Mytilus edulis: one gene and its partners. The protein of the gene in region 2 purifies or fractionates together with the protein of the main gene of each other region. This does not show direct contact. Links are inferred from orthologs where the notes say so. Each region holds a gene or a part of one and is shown on either strand. Other genes may lie near its edges.

Evidence for each region.
Region 1: the proteins of EKC/KEOPS complex subunit Tp53rkb-like (region 2) and probable tRNA N6-adenosine threonylcarbamoyltransferase purify together in Homo sapiens (affinity purification with mass spectrometry; 5 studies listed by BioGRID and IntAct, counting the BioPlex papers as one, with this or other methods). This does not show direct contact. The link is inferred for Mytilus edulis from reciprocal best matches to the Homo sapiens genes TP53RK and OSGEP.
Region 3: the proteins of EKC/KEOPS complex subunit Tp53rkb-like (region 2) and nucleoporin Nup43-like purify together in Homo sapiens (affinity purification with mass spectrometry; 3 studies listed by BioGRID and IntAct, counting the BioPlex papers as one, with this or other methods). This does not show direct contact. The link is inferred for Mytilus edulis from reciprocal best matches to the Homo sapiens genes TP53RK and NUP43.

Annotation. Positions count from the first base shown.
Region 1 is NC_092348.1:62,725,556-62,732,915, reverse strand, and holds the start of probable tRNA N6-adenosine threonylcarbamoyltransferase, read left to right. Parts: upstream 1-4,271; 5' UTR 4,272-4,436; intron 4,437-5,872; 5' UTR 5,873-5,874; coding exon 5,875-5,989; intron 5,990-6,728; coding exon 6,729-6,848; intron 6,849-7,042; coding exon 7,043-7,144; intron 7,145-7,360. Other genes in the region: retinitis pigmentosa 9 protein-like, read right to left, coding at 386-480, 922-955. UniProt on the Homo sapiens protein: Component of the EKC/KEOPS complex that is required for the formation of a threonylcarbamoyl group on adenosine at position 37 (t(6)A37) in tRNAs that read codons beginning with adenine.
Region 2 is NC_092348.1:94,762,733-94,769,846, reverse strand, and holds EKC/KEOPS complex subunit Tp53rkb-like, read right to left. Parts: upstream 2,391-7,114; 5' UTR 2,286-2,390; coding exon 2,072-2,285; intron 1,112-2,071; coding exon 621-1,111; 3' UTR 605-620; downstream 1-604. Other genes in the region: ganglioside-induced differentiation-associated protein 1-like, read left to right, coding at 2,511-2,579, 5,328-5,523.
Region 3 is NC_092353.1:66,796,357-66,803,401, reverse strand, and holds the start of nucleoporin Nup43-like, read right to left. Parts: upstream 3,027-7,045; 5' UTR 2,986-3,026; coding exon 2,866-2,985; intron 484-2,865; coding exon 343-483; intron 1-342. Other genes in the region: synaptic vesicle glycoprotein 2C-like, read left to right, coding at 5,124-5,184. UniProt on the Homo sapiens protein: Component of the Nup107-160 subcomplex of the nuclear pore complex (NPC). The Nup107-160 subcomplex is required for the assembly of a functional NPC.

The DNA of each region.
Region 1 (7,360 bases), about 32 Mb from region 2:
TTAATCTTTGTTTGAAATTGTTAGGATCCATCAATCTTTTACACTGTCTACAGAGATTTTTAACAGGGTACCAATGCTTAGAAATTTAACTTAAGGTGGTACCTAACACTTTCACTAAAATCAATTTGGCTCGTTTAATTTTCATTAAATTTTGACAAAGTATTCACTTTGACCCTTTGACAAAAATATAAAAATTTCAAAAAATTTGAACCAACCATTTTATTAGAAAGAAATACACTGGTTATATAGCAGTTTGACAAACACTAATTTTGATCATTGAGAAGCATAAAATTCTCTTAACAACGCAACTTAATTAAAACGTTCAGCTGATTTTACAGAGTTATCTTCCTGTAGTGTTAGGTACCACCTAAGTCCTTAAACTCACCCATTTCAGTCTTTGGTGAACTTGTGGAGGTTCTATCTGTTTTCCTTTTTCAGGGCATTTGTCTTTCTTGTGTCCATTCTTCTTACAATAAAAACCTAAAATTATATCTTCTTTTAAATAGAATAAAAATAATCACAGAATTAACAAGTATTGGAAACCTATAAACAGTGATAGTGCTTCTTAGAGTTCCCCTTGTGCAAAATTTAATTAAAATCAAATCCTTTAATTGCTCCTGTTCTGATATGTCACACATCAAGGTGTGCGACAATGTAGCTGAATGGGAGCAATTCAAGAATTTAGTTTTAATTAAAGTGCCATTTTATTCTTTCTTTTTTTTGGGGTTAATTGTGATATCTGAATCTGTAAATATTAATTTTCAAGATGATCTGTATTATACAAGAAACTCATCTCCAAAAAATCGTTCATGTGTCACTTATATAGGTTAGACTTATTTCCCCTTTCCATTTAAAATATTTTCACAATGTAACTGAAACGATCAAATAAGAAAAAAAAGGTAAATATGGATTTATTCTTACACTGAATTGAATCTTTATCCTTGTCTCTATCCATTTATGTCAACTCTTCTGATAAAATCATTTCATCCTGTGGTATATATCACTCTGCAATGGAAAATGTCCTTTCAGACAGACTGAAAAGCAATAAAAGAACAGTATTCCTGCATCCTCCATGTTGTATATATTATCTTCAAGTTCAATAACTCCAAAACTATTTTTATTCATATTTTATACTTGTTGATAAATATCTTATAACAGGGGCTTATACATAATGTATTATAGTCCTAGCTTAGTACAAGAAAAGTAGATTTGACATGAGATGGCAAACTATATAATTGTTCACATAATTTTTACTTCCCTATAACCAAACTCCTAGTAAAAAAGTTGGTTTGCAGAGCATTACTTGCAGAGGACTTGTGTTTTACAGAAAGCATAAATTTGTCATAATTACTGTAAAAAACCAATATGTGTACAGAGCAATAAATTATATGAACTGTAATGTGCATATGCAGAAGGTAGAGACAGGGGTGTCCTGCTTTTTCTTGTATAAAGGCAAATTGGTTTTTTAGATTTTAATCTGTGGACAATGGAATTTAGTATATATATATATATAAATACATATTTGTTAGACTTAGATGGATGTCTGTATCTTTTAATTGAATGTGAAATCACAATCTCAAATAAATAAAAGTTAACCAACTAGATCAATGTTGCTTTATTCCTTTCATATAAATAAATTACATGTGGATATAAGACAATGTAACAGAATCCAAATACAAAGATAACGTAAAGACATCTAGGGGCAATACTATACAGTGTCAAACAATACTGGAAATTCAGAAATTTAAAAATATTGCGTGCATTTATTATTGTGATTTCGTAATTTAAACTAAAATGCGATTTAATTTTTGCGATATTATAAATTATCCTGTTTAAATCATATAAAATATTCAAATATGCGAGTTTAAATTATTGCGATTATAACTCCGTGGAATTTTTTGCAATAATAAAAACATCGCAATAATTTCTGAATTTACAGTAGACAGAATATAGAAAAATAAAATCAAATATTGAAAGTATTATCATTTGGATTTTTTTAACATTAGAGTATTTAGGTTCAACGATCATTTGAGTTTGGAATAATATGTCTTTACGAAATCAGGAGTATGACAGTAATTATAAAAAAGAAGATGTGGTATGATTGCCAATGAGACAACTCTCCACAAGAGACCAAATTTTAAAGACACAGAAATTAACAACTATAGGTCACAGTAAGGCCTTCAACAATGAGTAATATTTTCTTTAAATAAAATTGTGAAATCATTGCAGCAAGTTGGTAAAAAGGACATTGATTAGAGAAGCCAAATATTAAACGTAGATTTGAGAATGACAAAAAGACATTAATAAGAGATCATACATGTCATATAGGCAGTTGATTTGTATTTTTCATTTATTATGAATTCATATTTGGACATTGAATTGAGGAATGAACAATTTGATCTGAGTCTTACATATATAATAGAAACTTTTATAATTCTTCATTCTGCAAATTATTTCAGTGAAAAGGTGTTAAATAATTGGATAATGATTGTGATGGATGGCTGCTTAACGTCCAGTGGCAAATTAATATGCATATTTGGAACTAGAACGAGATCATGTAAATGAAATACGGAAAGGGATTAATAAAGGTTGCAATAACTTGTTTCCCAATCCAATATAAATAAATATTTTTAAAAACTAAGAATATTAGTCTGCTTTGTACAAGATGGACACACTACACAATTTTATTAACATGTAGATTTGTAGTACACAAGGAAACAGTCCACAGGAAGATATGTCACCTAACCCGGACACACTATTCAGACTCTGAGCTGATCAATCTTGGCTGGAACTGTTAATGCTGTCTAAAAATTGGAAGTAAATAGGTACAGATGAAGAAGTACACTTCCAAGACATACCGATTATGAGGTTGTCTGCATGTTGATATTGTAAAATATCAGCTTCAAGTCACAATATACAGCTTTTTGTCAAACAGGCACAGGGAACGAGATCAAAATGCCTTCATATTGTGTCGAGCAGCTTATATTTTACAATATCAATATGCTAATAACCTGATAATCGATTTATTAGGCTGTATTTGGGTCTTTTGGAAGTGCTTTCTTAGCTACACCAGCAACCAGAAGATGATCTGATAAGTTCGGGTCAAACTTATCAACGTTGGTTCAAGCATTATGACGTCACTGATATGTCCGGGTCAACATATTGGACGTCACAAAGCCGTAATATGCAATTTTATTAAGAACTGAGCAGAGTGATATAGACAGTGGGACGACCGATAACATACCAATATACTACATGTACTAGTATAATTTTTGTTACAATATTGTTTCAGATAAGGGTGAAGGTTGGAACCTATTAAAATGTTTAAAACCACAGCATACATGTATGTTTGCATCTGTCCTTAGTTTGGGATATGATTTTATTCAAGTAAAATGCCGTTATATAGTCCCATGTTGTTAAAATTGCAATTAAAATGATATGCACGCACAAAATGCAGCTTGTGTCAGCATAATCCTGTTATACATCATTTGACACAGTTCATGAACTTAAATACTGGGGTTGTTTATAAAAAGTGCGAAATTTCATTTGAGAGTCTGAGAACTGGGAAAGAGTGGTTTGATATGCCAATTAGGGTATGCATAGATAAGTCAATTAGGATATAATACCCCAATTGGGATATACATGTAGTACCACAATTAGAGTTATTCCCAACCTGTTTAATATAAATTAGACCGTTCTTTTTCACGTGTGAATGGTTTACACTAGTCATTTTTGGGGACCTTAACAGCTTGCTTTCTGGTGTGAGCCAAGGCTCCATGTTGCAGACCGTACAATTCAATAATCACTAAAGTCAGTAAAGAGATCTTATTCCTGTAAAAATTTTGTATTTTCTTTTCATAGTTTGTTCAACTTATCATCATGCATGTCATGTTTGTGATTCTGAACTTGAGAGCATTTTTCTAATTTTCATTTCATGTGTGATAATTTACAAACTAGGAATGATACACAAAGTCTATGATACATTTAAAATACCTAATTTTAAATCTACCCCAAGCTTCTCTAACACAGTAAAATCGGATACTAGTCCGTCTCCGTTTCGAGTTTTAGTATACATTTGCTAAAAGAAAGAACAATTTTGTATAAAAATAAAGAAATCACAAAAAGTTTGCACACATTAGATTGACTATTGATTTACAAAATTTAAAAAAAAAATCTTCGTTCTAAATTAAAATTTCTGTATAATATTCTAGCCATTTTAATTAGGTTCATAATAGTTAAAAGAATGACCTGTACGGGATCAAACTCCAGTTACTATAAAATACAAAGCGAAAGTACAAACTGAAAGTAGAATTTCTCAGCAGCCCTCATGAATGGGAGTTATGATATGAACCAGAGACATATTCCCAATAAAAACTAATCAACAACAAACTAAAAACCATATCTCATATTGCTATCAGTGTGTTTTCTTAAAGCAGGTAAATTTAAGCAGTTAAGGAGGCTCGAGGGTATAAAAATTTCAGAAAAAAAATAAACATTTGTTTTTCATTACAAATTTTATTTATTACCATTTGTAGTTGTTACTTTATCATATGGTACAAAAAAAAAATTAAAAAAATTAATTCGTGTTGGCCCCAGATGACTTTTAAAATGTAAACATCATCTAAAAAGTTCCAAATTATCTCCCTTTGGTGGAAAAATGCCATTTTTTGGCTTTAAAATTGAAATATCTCTTTTAACTCATCGGTGACCTATATTTTTTAATATGATTTCTATATATGCTTTACTTAAACTAAATTATTGTAAAATTTGAGCAATTTCTGTAATGAATTTCTTTTTTTATTTCGATATTACCTTTATTTCTCTTATTAGTTCAACAGGAAAAAAACACTTTTACAAAGATGTATGCTTCTTTCGAAGGCAGATTGTGAGTGCAAATGAACGGTGACCCCATTTTTTTATTTTATTTTTCTCTTAACTATAAGATAAAGTTCATTTATAGTAAAATATTGAGAAATCCTATATAAATGATTTAGACCCGCGAACCCCCTTAATTGAATTAAATCTATTTTTTGCATTTAGAATTTTATCCAATTTGCTCACTTATATAGCTGACAGATGTATTGACTTTTGTTTGTTTAGACCATGCAGTTTTAACACATTTTACACTGGTGAATACCATAGAACACCTAAATTATAGATGAGAGACACACTTTTATAGCCTTAAAATTGCATAATTTTTTTATAAGGTTCATCATAACAAATGGACAAATATGGGTGTATTTTCTCTTTAAACTTATATGTGTACAGACTTGAAATTTTTAATTCATTCCATATTTATTTGGTATTATAATGTTTTGTGCTGTTCATAACACTTTCCATACAATGTATTTTGTATAGATAGTGTTGTGCACGGCACAGTACATTCTATTGAAAATGTACTATCTTCTTTGTAATAGAAAGTGTTGTGCACAGCACAGAACATTAAAGTATAGAATAAACATGGAATTTATTAAAAAAAATACAACAAATAAAGAAATTATGTAAATTCCATAATTGATATTTGATAATAATTCCAAGTTCAAATAATAGCCTGTTATTTGACATTTCTGGGCCTTTTATAGCTGACTATCCTTTATAGGTTTTGCTCATTGTTGAAGACTAAAATCTTTAAAAAAAATCCTTTGATATTAATTTTTCATAACTTTTTAAAGAAAAAAGATGCCAATGTTAAATGTATGAAAAAAATCTAGAAATCATTTCCAGCCAAATTTTTAATTGTCTATATCTTCAGGATCAACAATTACTTAACATTATACCAGATTTTTTGTCTATTAAAAATAAAGGATATTTGATTTAAGAATACTTGTTTCTGGTCACAATCAATATATTCTTGTTCTTGTCTTGTAAATAGAAATGGTAATAGCAATTGGCTTTGAAGGAAGTGCCAATAAGATTGGAATTGGTATAATACAAGATGGAAAAGTGTTATCAAATCCAAGACGTACCTATATAACTCCACCAGGCCAAGGTATGTAAAAACTTAAAATTTGATATTCATGGTTTTGAAATAAGTACTTGCCAATAAACTATTTCATATTACAGACTTTTGACTCTGAGGTTTATATTTTATTGACAGGTTACTTAATCTGTCATTTTGTCTGTTGTAGAAAATCCTGGTATTCAGTCAAGTAAGAGCAACTTCAATAAGTAAAATCAAGCTTCAAATCAGTAAATTTACTGTTTCTTGTTGTCTATAAATGACAAAATCATGTGAAAACAGCAAAATTTCTCTTTAAATTGCACAGATTATATGTTTGATTTTTCTTCTTTTTCATGATTTCTTATCACCATGATCACAGAGAAGGGACCTGTGGAAATTTAATCTTGAGTCAAAAGTCCAGTTATATGAAAAAAGTCTATTAATAGCAAAATATGAGCAATTTGTATTTGGATATAAAGAAGATATGTTATAAGTGAAAATGAGACAACTCTCCATCCAAGTCACAACTTGTAAAAGTATAGGTCAAAGTAAATTTTCATGATATTGGAAGTTAGGTACAGTTTGGTGTTTTCGTCATATACTTTTTGAATTGCCAATATACCTGATATTAATTATTCTATGAGAACCTGCATCCATATATAAAAGTCTTTGAATTACAATGTATTACATTTATAATAAAAGAAGTTTAAAACAGAAAAACTGAAATATTAAATTAAGATCCTTTTAGTACTACATGTAGTATAAAACTGTCCTTTTGGGATTACAGGTTTTTTGCCCAGAGACACAGCTAACCATCATCGAGCTAATGTTCTAGTTGTATTAAAGGAAGCACTTGATGAGGCTAAAATAGATCCAAAACACATTGATGTGGTGTGTTATACAAAAGGTCAGTCTGAGATTATTTTTTTATTAACTAACATATCATGATTTTGCCAATTTATTTTTCGGTTTGACCTAATTGTTTTTTCCATAACTTGATATTCTGGGTCATTGTCATATATAAAGATAATTGTTGTTCGTCAAATAAAATTGAAATTTTAATTGTGTATTTTGCATTTTGCATTTTATTGTTTTTTACAGGTCCAGGAATGGGTGCCCCATTAGTATCTGTTGCCATAGTAGCGAGGACAGTAGCACAGTTATGGCAGAAGCCAATCATAGGAGTAAATCACTGTATTGGACGTATCCTTAACTGCATATAGACTTCAACTTCATGATCACTATTTATCATATAAATACAAAATTACATACCAATGAATCAAAGGAGATGTGGGAAATACTTCAATGAGACAGCAACAAAAAAATATAAAACTAGATGTGTCAAAGCGACACGAATGGCCCCGTCTCCAAAAGTTAAAAAATCTGCAATTTAAATAACACATGTGGACACAAACATGA
Region 2 (7,114 bases):
GAACAGTACATGTATTAAATAAGTAAAGACCATTAAAATGTACTGTTAAACACCTATTCCAGGTTAGGGGAGGTTTGGTATTTAAACCCTGCCATATTCTGTGAGTGTGAGTGCCTATCATACGTAAGGAGCATGTTACTAAGTGCTTTTCATTTGTAGCTGTTTATCATGTACATTTGTATTTTTTTCTTTCATTGTTTTGGTAACATAAATCAGGCAATTAGTTTTCTTGTTAGAATTGTTTTACATTTGTCATTTCAGGTCCATTTTCAGCTGACTATGCAGTAAGGGTTTTTCTCATTGTTGAAGGCTGTATAGCAACCTGGAGTTGTAAACTTCAATGTCATTTGGTCTCTGGTGAAGAGTAATGTCTCATTGTCAATCAGACCATATTTTCTTATATATTAAATCAGAAAGAAACAGAACAATTATGAATAAACTTTACCTAATAAAAAGAAGGCTATTTATTTGATAGGGTTATAGAGAATGTAATGGTCTGCTGAAAAGGGACATTGCATTTAACCATGATATATACATTTTGAAGAAAACACTGCATATAGCCATATACACTGTCAGTAATGAATAAAAAAAAGTTAACCAGAAATAAATTGTAGCTTTATTTATCCAACCATTGTTCTTTTCCTTCCACGAAGTCTAACTTCATCTAATTTGGCAACAACTTCAACTGAACTTTTTAAGTTGTATTTTTTGTATGAGTCAAGAATTGTCTGAAAAAAATCCTCTGTATTCGGATGCGTACTTAAAATGGCTCTTTCTAGTACATATAAATCTACTCCTTTCTCCTCAGCAAAATTTTCAAAATGGCTGAGACCAAAATCTATGATAACAACATCTAATCCAGCAGGGTTACCTCTAAGAAGCATATTTGATGTTGTCAAGTCACCATGTACAATGTTATTTGAATGCATTATTCCTAAAATTTCTCCAACTTTCACTCCTAAAGGTTTAAGAATATTATTTGCGGTATCACTGTTTTCATTGGCTTGAACATGTTGAATATACTCTCTAACAGTTTGTGCATCTTCAATTTCTTCCATGTAAATACTGGAATTTTCCATGTTTGTAAAATATACGGTTGGTGTGCAAATGCCTGAAATTAAAAATAACAATATTTTTTCAAACATAAAATATACTACATGTACAGTGTTAATATACATTACTTTCTGCAACAAAATCTTTTCCAACTACATGTACAGTACTACTTATCTGAAGGCCTATATTCATATATATTGTTTATGCATGTTATGTGTCTATTGGAATTGTCTAACAATATTTCCAAATACTTTGAATAACAAATGAATACAGTTTTACTAGTCTGGGGCATCTGTAGCTGACGATGCAGGCTAATCATGATGACTTCTTGTCTCTGATGCATGAATATTTTTTATTATTAGTTGTTTTCATTAACTACATGTAGCTTACAGTTAAAACAGCAAGTACTCTCTAACCATACTTTGTGTTATTTTGACCTGTTGACGCAATTTGTAATGCATTTCTGTATTTCAAGGTTGACTTACAAATAATGTATTTTGTGTTATATCTTGTCTCACTATTTTTAATATGTACCCCCTTAGTTCAGTTTTTAATATGACAATAAATTTTCACTTCTGTACTCGTACTGAGAACAGCAAATTCATAAATTCTATAATAAAAGATTACTTCCCTACTGGCATGACTGGTCTCCTAACAACAAAATTATTACATTTAAATTTTGTGTAAACTTAACAACATCTTGTCCAAGGTTAGAATTACTTTTAGTAAAATTATGAATTACATGTAAATGTATTATAATTACGAATATAGCATCAGGGATCAGACCATCCCAACCCACCCCAATCATGTGCCTTATAGCTATTTGGAAATCTGTGCCAATTGAACTATTGCAGTCATACAACAATAATTTTTCCGTTATGGCGACAGACATTTGTATTGTGACTTCAACTTTTTATGGGAACCTTTGAGATGTCCAATAACGGCATACAAAAATCGTATATGATTCCCGCTGGTCACCGAAAATAACATTAATTTGGAATCAATGAAAATATATTACCATTCATTCGACATCTCAACAGTGCTCTTACTTCTGATTTAATTCGATGGGTTGTCAAAGACTTGTCTAATGAAGGATGGCGGTAACATTTCGTAAACCTTTCCTTGATAATACAGGGTTTTCCATAAAATGTTGATTTATATAATTTGGCTTCTGCTCCTTGCTTCATCAACACGGGAATTGTAGCAATACTATTTCTTGATTCATCTTCCATACTCCGATGATGTTCTTTAAAGTAACAACGCTACTTATTTCTGGAAATATCGGCCAAGTGCTTGCAGTTTGATAATTTTTATTTTTTAATCAATGTGAATTTGGTGCTTGAAAGTTTTGATATATTTTCCTATCTTCAAACGCGTCAATGACAGCAACAAAAATTAGCAGACCATTTTTACCTCCCTGACAGGAGAAAACTTTGTTACAGCTGAAGGTCTGCACAATGACACAAATTGGAGTGAAAAAGAAATTTACACTGTTTTACTTTCCAACATCCTTTTCATCTCAAAAGGTTAAGATTCATTAACGTAATGATATAGAGTGATAAGGTTTATTTTCATTCAGAAATTCTTTTGAAATGACAATCCACTAATAAAATACAGAAGTTCTGAAATGGGTTACCCACTGCCATTGGCATGTCTTTTTCTCCTCTACAAAATAAAACCAACATTTAAGTTCACACAAGATTAATTACCATCCAACTTGACCGAAGTTTGGATTGAGCGTTTGAATCGGCGTAAACATTCATGCACTGGGACAAACAATTATACATGATGAACATGTGATGCTACACACTTTATCCCTATTTGGAAATCTGTCCTAGTTGACCCGAGAATCTGTCCTGTTGAACTTTTGATGTCATACAACAATCACTTTTCCATTATGGCGCCAGATATTTTGTATTATGACGTCAAAATTTGATGGGAACCTTTGTGATGTCAAGTAATGTATGCCAATAAACGAACCTGGTCAATATGAAACATCAAAATCAAAACCAAAAAATCTGTTCAGCTATATCAAAAGCACACGATCTGATAACACTGGTGTTGCACCTTTGAAAAAAGACCGCAAACTAGTCACAGACATTGAGGAAAAAGATTTTAAATCAACAGTTCCAATCAGTATTTACAGATGAAACAGATGATAACATCCCAGACAAAGGTACAAGTCCTCACCCGAAAATGGCAAAAATAACAATCACTGAAGCAGGTATTACAAAATTACTGTCGAACATAAATCCACACAAAGCTGGTCCGGCCAATATCAATGGCAGAGGCCTTAAAGAACTAAAGGAACAAATCTCACCAATCCTTACATTGATATTTAAAAAGTCACTTGAAACTGGAGAAACACCTAAGGACCAGAAACATACTAATGTAGCCCCAGCCTTCAAAAAGGGGCAAAAATACAAACCAGTAAACTACAGGCCAATATCTTTAACCTACATATGTTGCAAGCTCATGGAGCACATCATTACAAGTAGCATCATGTCTCATCTTGAAAAATATCATATATTATACGATCTTCAGCATGGCTTAAAAATATCAAGGTCGTGTGAAACACAGTTAATAGACTACATTCAAGAACTAGCACAATCAAATAACAGAAACACACAAATTGACTTGATCATAATGGACTTCACTAAAGCGTTCGAAAAAGTCTCACATTGTCACCTCCTTTACAAGCTCAAATTCTATGGTATTGAAAATAACACTCTAAATTGGATTCAGGCATTTTTACAGGACAGAACACAAACAGTAGTCATTTATGGCATTTCTTCCACCTCAGTACCCGTAACATCTGGTGTACCACAAGGAACAGTATTGGGCCAAATACTGTTTCTCATCTACATGTATATAAATGACTTACCGAAATACCTACAACAAAGCAAGCTTAGACTCTTTGCTGATGACAGCATAATTTACAGGGAAATAAAAACACAAGATGATTGTTATAAACTACAACTTGACCTAGACTCAGCAGCTTGATGGGAGTCAGATTGGCTTATGGCATTTCACCCTGATAAATGTACCAACCTTTCCATCTCATTTTCCACAATGTTGTTGAATTATTTTCGAAGTTATCGGTATGACCCAAATGGATACTTCTGTCTATCATTTATGTTTTCCTTTGGGGAGCATTCATTGTATTAGTCTCCGAGGATGAAACATGCAGAAAAGTCAAGCATATTACAAAAATTAACATTGCATGCATTAGTTTTTAGTGATCCTGTTTTTGAAGAACAGGTCAAAATAAAACTTAAGTTGCCAATTGTGTAATTGAGTAATTTTGGCTGTCTTCTAATCATTAATATATCTCTTTGGGATTCTGAAAAACTTGTCTTATTTGAACATTCTACGACAATTATTTTTGCACTGTAATGTCAAAATCTTTAAATTATTCAACTGAAGGTATTCAGGGGCGGAAACAGACATTTTCAAAAGGGGTTCCAAACCCAGTATCAAGGAGTGTTCCAACCATATGTCCCTATTCAAATGCATTGATCATCCAATAAAAAGGGGGGTTCCAACCCCCTGAACCCTCCCCCTGGATCTGTCATTGGTATTCACCAATAAGTGGCAAAAGTATGTGGAGTAATATTTCTTAGACAAACAGAAGTTGAACTGCTGCACCTCCATACACAATGTTCAAACAAATAAAAGGACTCAAATAAAATTACTTTAAATGGCCACAAGAAAAAAATTATATAACAAACTTTCTTGCTTCATGATCTTCTTACCATGCTGACACAACATTTTCGGAAGTTATAACTTATGTTGTTTTCCTTAAACAAAATTACCTACCTACTTAGTACCTACATACAAACCAAACCCTATTAGTCACATCAAACAAACAAAAATTATATTTTTAAGGGTGACCTAAATAGTTTTGTTAGGTTGCTTAAATTCACTTCATTTGGAAAGTTGTCCTAAATATTGGCAATCTTACAACATCTCCTTAAATTAATATTTTTTGTTTGTGAACCAAAACACATTTTATTTTATTTATTTTATGAATGTAACTAAACAATCTACTTTATTAGTGATAAAATAACATGAATCAAGTATTTAGTAGGTTCTAATTACAATGTATAATACCTCAGTTAACAAAATCCGTCTTAGCACTTTCCTACATTACGTAATAATGTAAATTTATTATTCATTGACCTTGGCTGGCGTTTAAGTGTTAGTGGAGGTTATTGCTTTTCTGAGGAATAATTTGAATGCAGAATGATAAGTGTTATTGGATTGTTTTCTAGGTTCTTCTTGCATTCTTTGAAAAAGAGGTACCATTTAAACCAAAGCTGGTCAGTCTGTTCTCTGGACAACACAATGCTCCTTGGTATGTAAAATTAAACCCAGAAGGTGTCCATGTACCAGTCTTACAAGATGAAGAGAACATCATTACAGAACCAGACAAGATTATTAAGTATATTGATACAGCCTATCCAGCAGGTAAGAATACGTAAAATCTACTCACACCAATATTGTTACATGTAGATGGTGAGGATTAACAACTTTTTAAAAGAGTTATGCCCCTTGTAAATATTTAAATGTGGAAATTGCATTGTTAGCTCTCTCATTAAACTCATGTCATGTGAACAATTCTTTCCACTTTTTTATGAAATTATAGCAAAGATTTATATCAGTATTATCTCAGCTTCAAAAATTAGTTCCAGTCAAGATTATAAAAGAGTTATGCCCCTTCGAAATTGCATTGCAATTGGTCTTAAGCCTTCAATTCTCTATGCTATTTTATTGCATGGGCCCTTGGACAGATACTATTTGTGCAACATATGGGACAATGTCCAAGGTTGTGGTCCAAATACCAGTGAATTAAAAAGAAATTGAATAAATGTCAATTTCAACTGATGACTTGAATACAGAATACTGGGGTATACATTAATGATTTTCTTGTTCTTTTTTTCTTTCTTTCATACTTTTTAAGAATCAGAACAGCAGTTCTTGGTCTTCTCTCAAATATAATTGTTACATTCACATGATTCATGATGCATGAGGCAGTTTTTGCTCAAGAAAGTTAAACTAAATCATGCTCCATGATAACATATATATATATATAAGTTAATATAATGAAGGCAGATTTCATAATTTGTCTTTTTTGTTGTTGAGGAAACTATGAAAATTGTTTCAATAATCTAAAGATATCATGTATATATGTAGGACTCTAAAGTGCGATGGTCACGCTAAAGTGCGATGGTCTATGCTAAAGTACGATGGTGTATCACGCTAAAGTGCGATGGTTGTTTGTTCGCTAAAATACGATGGTCACACTAAAGTGCGATGGACTAAAAGTGTAATGTTAAAGGGCTTAAAGTATTAAAGAACACGGATTTAAAAAATAGTCTTCTTGCGAAAGCTAGTACAAGGTTTTATGACATATTTGATAGGCTTTATAATTACCGATAGTCTTAAGTGGTCATTGTTTTAAATGAAGAAGAACGACCACGTAATAATTGCTAAAATGGTAATTTAGGTGTGACAAAAATCTATGTGTATGTATCCTGTATATTTTTTTTTTAATTCAGGCCGGTATCACATATTTGGATAATTGGTGTAGCTTGCCGTTCACACAGTATATCACTAATGTGAACATATCCTCTCAAAGTCGTCATTGTAAATTACAAATACAAAATTCGTTCTAATTTTTCAGCAGACAATTTATGATTTACGCATGGAAACATGACGTATAAAAAAGAAGATGTGGTATGATTGCCAATGAGACAACTATCCACAAAAGACCAAAATGACACTGACATTAACAACTATAGCTCACCGTACGGCCTTCAACAATGAGCAAAGCCCATACCGCATAGTCAGCTATATAAGGCCCCGATAAGACAATGTAAAACAATTCAAACAAGAAAACTAACGGCCTTATTTGTATAAAAAAATTAACTAAAATCAAATATGTAACACATAAACAAACGACAACCACTGAATTACAGGCTCCTGACTTGGGACAGGCACGTACCTGTTACCGACTTTACTTTTCATTAAAATCAATATTTGAACGGGGACGGCAAAG
Region 3 (7,045 bases), on a different chromosome or scaffold from region 2:
GGTTTCTATTTGACAATGATAACATACATGTACAAAATGTATAACCCCACCGCATATTTGTGCCTGTCCCAAGTCTGGAGCCTCTGGCTTTTGTTAGTCTTGTATTATTTTTAACTTTAGTTTCTTGTGTATAATCTGGAGTTTAGTATGGCGTTCATTATCACTGAACTAGTATATACATTTATTTAGGGGCCAGCTGAAGGACACCTCTGGGTGTGGGAATTTCTCGTTGCATTGAAGACCTATTTTTGACCTTGTGCTGTAGTCTGTTATATGGTCCGGTTGTTGTCTCTTTGACACATTTCTATTCTCAATTTTATGTATATAAACTGTATAACAAACCTCTAGCCCTGTTACATCTCCTATATGAGAGGCCTCACAAATAGGTATTGGGTCATTATCAACATCCCCTTCTGTTCCCCTGCCATCTCCATCATCAAATTTCTTTTCTCTATTAACTTTCCATAAACATACTTTATTTTCCTGCAAAAGAAAAGATTTAAATTTAACATACTTCAATCACCCTAATTTTGTCCAAAACAAATCATAAATAACTTTCTGTGTTAAGCTAATATGTATCCTGCTTTGTGAAAATATGCACTGTATTTTTTTCCCTTAAATAAGCTCAACCTGAAAGGCCTCTATATTGTACATTATCATTTTTTCTAACTTTTGGGTTGTATTTGATGGAATGGCGTTGGCACACTTGCTCCTGTAGAAGGCAATATTAATTTAGTTAAATACCAAGAAATACTTGATGAACATTAGAGGCTTATTAGCTCAGCAATTTTGGGTAGGTCATCCTTTTTTCCAAGATGACAATGCTCCTGTCCATCATTGCACAGTACACCCACAAATTTGTAGCTTAGAACGGAATACATTGTTAGCTGGCCTGCACAGTCATCAGACTTAATTTGTGCCCTTGAATGTGATAGAAAACATTTGGTTATACAATGTACATTGTATATAAAAAGAAAACTTCAAACACGTACTGGGATGATTAAATCTACAAAATGAAATGTTCGAAAAAATTTATCGTATTTGCATGATTAGGGTCAATATTACGCCCTTCGATATTCATTGCTTAATAAATACAATTCCGAAAAGGATATTAAATGTAATCAAGCTCAAAGGACATCTAACAAAGTATTAAAGTAAGTTTTATAAATTTGTTGCATATTTTTATTGCATGCTACATGTACGTGTATGTACAAATGTATGTGAGATTCAACTTTGTATTACAGGTTGTCAAATTAAACAGTTTTTATGTTATTTATATGTTTTTATATTTGGTCAAAAGCTCCTTAGAGCTTGTTTTGTATATTTGTACTTATGCAGAAATCAAAATAAAATTTTCTTACATGTACATGTATCTTAATTTTCTATTTTTTTGTATTTCACTGGTTGATTTATTTACAGCGCAAGCTTGAACTTTGCAACACTCATTTTCAAAGTAAACATGCCGCCATCATGGCCATTGTGACTTTTTGCATTTCTCTGTAGGTGAAAATCCATTATTCAAATTTATTCTGTTCACAAATTTCCCTCTGAGGAAAACTAGGCTTATGCATGAAATTAAAACATTTTTTAACCTCTAAGTTGAAACAAGAGCTATCCTGGAACTATCTTCTATAAATGTAGCATCAATAGAACACTTTCGAGTTTGTCCGTCACCAGATAATCTCATCAATAGTGCACGCCTTTATGTCAGACGTCATTTACCAGATAGAGGGGATCGCATGCATCCCTGCACTATAAATGCTCATCAAGTGTCTAAGTTGTCGTCATTGTGGAGGATAAACTAGAAATAATATTTTTGCACTTAATCACAATTCTGGTGCCAGCTCCACCAGCGGACTATTTTGTCATACCAGCACGACCCTAGCGAACGATCAAAGCCAAAACATATTCAGACTGTGAAACTGACAATATCATCGAACGTCAAGGTCATCAATAACACCAGAGGACTTAAAGTACCAAATATAAACAAACCACAGAATAAACATTCATTTTTTATGGAAACAACTATTCACTGTAACCAACTACCAGATAAAGTTGTGCATGCAGGTTCTGTAGAGGCATTTAAGACCACTCTACAAGAACACCGCCCATAACAACGGCGCTTTTCTCCACCGTGTATAAAAGCCTAAACAGGATTCTACACATACATGTACCACTATAGATACAGACAGAATTCCCTAATGACAGCAGTGCTGAAAGACAATAGACGTATTTACACTTTGTATGCAAATTTGTCCGCCATTACGTAAAATCACACAGGTTCCTGTAAACTTTGACATCATAATTTAAAATATTTGACGTCACAATTTAAAGGTGATTGTTGCTTGACGTCAAAAGGTGATTTGGAGTCGATCTAAGGTCATTCTGGGGCAAGATACAGCTAAATACCAAAAGTGTAAATACGTTTATTAAAATGACATGAATGAGAATTTAATTTGCCGAATAATTTGTGCACTTAAGCTTTATAGTTTTCCAACCACTTACTCAACATTTGAACAGAAGTGATGACGCCCCTAAATGCAAGAATGATGTTCATTAAAACCAAAGTTCTTGACGGAAATGAGTCTAAATAGAAAGTTGTCTTAATTTGTCATAACATCACTCATCAGTCATCACTTCTCTTAAAATAACAAGATGCCATAAAATAATCAGTTTGACTTTCTTTTAGTAACCTATTAAATCATTCCTGAATGGATCTTCATTTAAAAGTCATATGCAGTCTATAGCTATAGCTCAAATACATATAATTCGAGAATAACAGGGAAAATGTAGCAAATTGTTAAAGTTTTGTGTTTATATGGTTTATATACTGTAAGAATCATTCAGTTTATGATATATAATGACCTCATCATCCCAGCTTCCTGTGACAAATGTGTCTGGTCCCTCAAGACTATTTTTTATAATGTTTTTCCATCTGATTTTGCTGATTTTCTGTGAAGCAAATGTTGCTCTTATGTCAGCCATTTTCAAAATTTGCACATGGCGGGAACATCCGGAACGATGCCGGATTTTTTCCGGAATTCATTCCAAAATTAAACAAATGTTTACATGTCAAAAAATAGAATTTTGTCATCACAAACTTCAGTTCAATACAGCATTTGAGAGTCAATGAACCTACAACTAAATGTTTCACACGTATAATTCATTAACAGATTTATATGAATGGTAAGATATTTATTTTTGTTTCTTCCTATAAACTGATCATGTCATATAATATTTTGGAAATAAGGCTGTGTAGACGTTAATTATTCTGTCTAAACTTTCTTGTACTATAGTCTATACACATCCTTTATGGTTAGCTTGGGAAAAAATATACAAGGGTACGACTCCGAGTTGTAAGTAAGTTTAGATTTGATTTTATTATTTTATGTGCTTATGTCACAGGCGGATTTAGGGGGGGCCAGGGTGCCCGGGCCCCCCCTTTTTGGGAAAAAAATTGGTTGCTTATATAGGGAATCACTGAAGCATGACTGGAGCGGGCCCCCTCTTAGGTCAGTCAGTAGGCCCCCGCTTATGAAAATTTCTGGATCCGCCACTGCTTATGTCATGTATGTGCTTGATGTTTTTTATATCCTGTTCTTATGTAAAGAATTAAGTTGCTTAGCTTTTATAATAGTATTTAATATGGTATACACAAGGCAAACATGGCTGATTGCATATCAACCAAAGTGTCTTTATCACCTCATCGCTATTTGTCCGCCATTACTGGATATCACACAGGTTCCCATAAAATTTTGACATCACAATACAAAATATCTGACGCCACAATGAAAAAGTGATTGTTGTTTGCGTCAAAAGTTCAAGCGAACGGGTCAGCCGGGGTTTAGCGATAAGGTGTATAGGGCCCATATTGAGCATATAAATCTGATCCAATAAAAATCACTGAGTTCATGCAATATCTACACACGTATGGAATACTGGTGGTACATGCTTTTTGTATACATTTGTGGTCATAAATAAATAAATAAATAAGTGGAGAGGGCCAGTACAAAGAGGGATAACTCCATTTGTAACTTTGCTTAACTTAACCCTTGACAACTTATCAAAATTTTATTGGGGCCTCATTGCCCAAGTGGTCTAAGTACAAAAATGTAGTTACTACTGTAATCACTAGCCAGTCAACACTGAGGTTGAAAGCCCCCCCCCCCCCCTTTTTTTTTTCGTGTGGGTGCACTTGACTCCAATCTTAATTGACTAGGATTGTCAGTTTTCTTATCTAAGGTTGGTGGTTTTATGCGGGCACTCCGGCTTCCTCCACCAATAAAAACTGGACCCAACAAAATAGCCTAAAACCTGGGCTTAAAAGTGGTGTTATTACACCAAAAATTATATCAATCAAAACTTTGTCAAAGAATTGTTTTATTAAAAAAATTTAGAGGGGACATTCAAATATGAAATGCTCTTCATCCATCATGTCCATGTCATCTTCAACTTATCCAACATGCATGTTTTAACATAACATTTGTGATCCATCTATAGTTTTTCGCATAATTATCTGTCTCTAATTTTAAGGAGTGTGCAATTATTTTTATCTTGCCTATCTTTAATTTGCTTAATTTCAAATAGTTTAATTACTTAACAAACAAACAAAAATGTTAAAAGAATAATTCAAGAGTTGACCTTTGTCTGATATTAGAGTATTTTCACTTAAATCTTTCACATGTTTTCATTTTCAAGTTATTTATTCTTAACTGTATAAAATAATTACATATTACAACATTTATATTATTTAGGTCAAGATCTTGAAAACCATTTTGTAATATTTTCTAAGTGTAGCTCTTTATCTAAAATATATATGTGTCATACATTGTATAATAAACCATTTAAAATATATATGTGAAATCTCCTTAATTCAGAAATAACGTCAAAATAATACTCGCTTTTCTAATTTCCAATATGATCAGCGAAGAAATATGTGCTATTAAATAATTTGTAGATGTAAATAAATTAAAGAAACAACCAAATATCTGTTCCAATACAAATTCTCAATTTTGAATATTTAGACCATTCTTAGTATTGGACCGGGTCACTTTACATACATGTATATTAAATGAGATAGAAGTTTTATTTTGATTTTTCTTTGTTTTTTAGCCTGATCTCTGATGGAAGAGAATTTCAAGATGTCACGGTCTGATGAGTATGACCCACTCATTGCCAATCAAGGTAATTATTATTTGACACTGTTACACTCAGTCATTAAATTTTCACTCTTTTATATACTCTTTATTTGGAGCGTGTTTGTGTAAGTATATTATTTTAGTGACATATATAAAATTTACAAATTATCAATATACAGTTTAAATTCTCAGGGGAAATAATTTTTATGTCTATCTAATACATGTACCTGTACTTAATTTTTTTTCAATTTCCAATTTTTCTGTTATTCTTTAAGTGGATGCATGCTTTATCATGTTTTTTGTACCACTTTAGGAAAATGTGTGAATTAATACCATGTGAACAGTGGCGGATCCAGAAATTTCATAAGTGGGGGCCCACTGGCTGCCTAAGAGGGGGCCGATTTCGTCAAGCCTCAGTGATTCCCTATATAAGCAACCAAATTTTTTTCTCAAAAGGGGGGGGCCCAGGCCCCCCCCCTGGGCCCCCCCTCCCTTAATCCGCCTCTGGTGTAGCATCATTGTAACTATTAAAGTTAAACAGGTAAAAGTATTCTGTGATCAGGTAAACTTCATTGGTCTAATTCATCTTTTGTCACAATCAAAGTTTTTCATCAAAAACTTGGTCAAGCTGGTAAACTTGGTTTAAATCATTGGTTGTCACTACCAAAGTTTTTCATCAAAAACTTGGTCAAAACTGGTAAACTTGAATTGGTCCAAGTCATTGGTCATTTGTCACTACCAAAGTTTTTCATCAAACTTGGTCAATGGAAAATATGGTAAAATAAAAAACTGAATTGTGTTAGTTTAAATAAAAATAGCATGAGCTTATATTTCTTCAATTTTCAAAGTGTTGAGTCTACCAACAATTTAAGAATGTTATGTGCTCACACAAAATGTACTTCGGTCAATGCTTTTACATCCCATAAATTTACAAAAAGAAGCATTCAATTCTTAAATGCAATTTTTTCTTTTGTGTATGGTATGTTATTATGAGGACATCGTATATATAATGGTCAAATGAAAAACTTTTGTAAAATCTCAAATCTTATTATATTGCAGCAGCAATTTATGTCAACACATAATGATGTTTAAAATTGGCAAAGGGAGATAATTTGGAGTTTTTCAATGTGATAAACATTTTAAAAGTCATCTGGGGCCAAAATGAAATCATGTTTTTGATTGATATTTATTTTTACCATATCATAAAGTAACAACTGATAGTGTAATAAATGCAATTTGCAATAAAAACAAAAAAATAATATTTTTGCTGACATTTTTGTACCTTCCAGCCTCCTTTAGACTCACATTATCATTCATGATTGTCTAATGATGTTGCTAACAGATTATATACATAATACATTCATCTTTATCATACAAATTTAACAATTTATTAGAAATTTTGTAGATTTATATGTAAAAATTGTCACAAATATCAGATTGACATTTTATGAATTATTGACTTCCATATATTGTTGTCATTCTGCCAATAAAATCTTTTCAACTTCTTATGATACAATTCATTTGTTTCCCTAAAGAATATAAAATAATGTAAGCATTTAGACGGCCTTTAATTTACACTTAAATCAGTTATAATAGCAATCAGATTATTTTGATGTTTTTTTTTATATTTACTACTCCAAAATGAAAATTTTGCAGGGATATGAAAACAAATATGACATAATTATATCAGACTGAATTTTATAAAAAAAAACCTGAAACTGTAAACATCTAAATAGCTATTTCTTGTTTCACTGAAAACCTGATAATACTATATTTAGGAGTAAACAATTTAAAGGTTCATGTTTTATATAAAAAATACTTTTACTAGTAATTTCCGTGTATGCTAATGACTTCAATTTATAAAAAAAAATCACGGATGTAGATTTTTTGAGTCAAAATGAGAATGA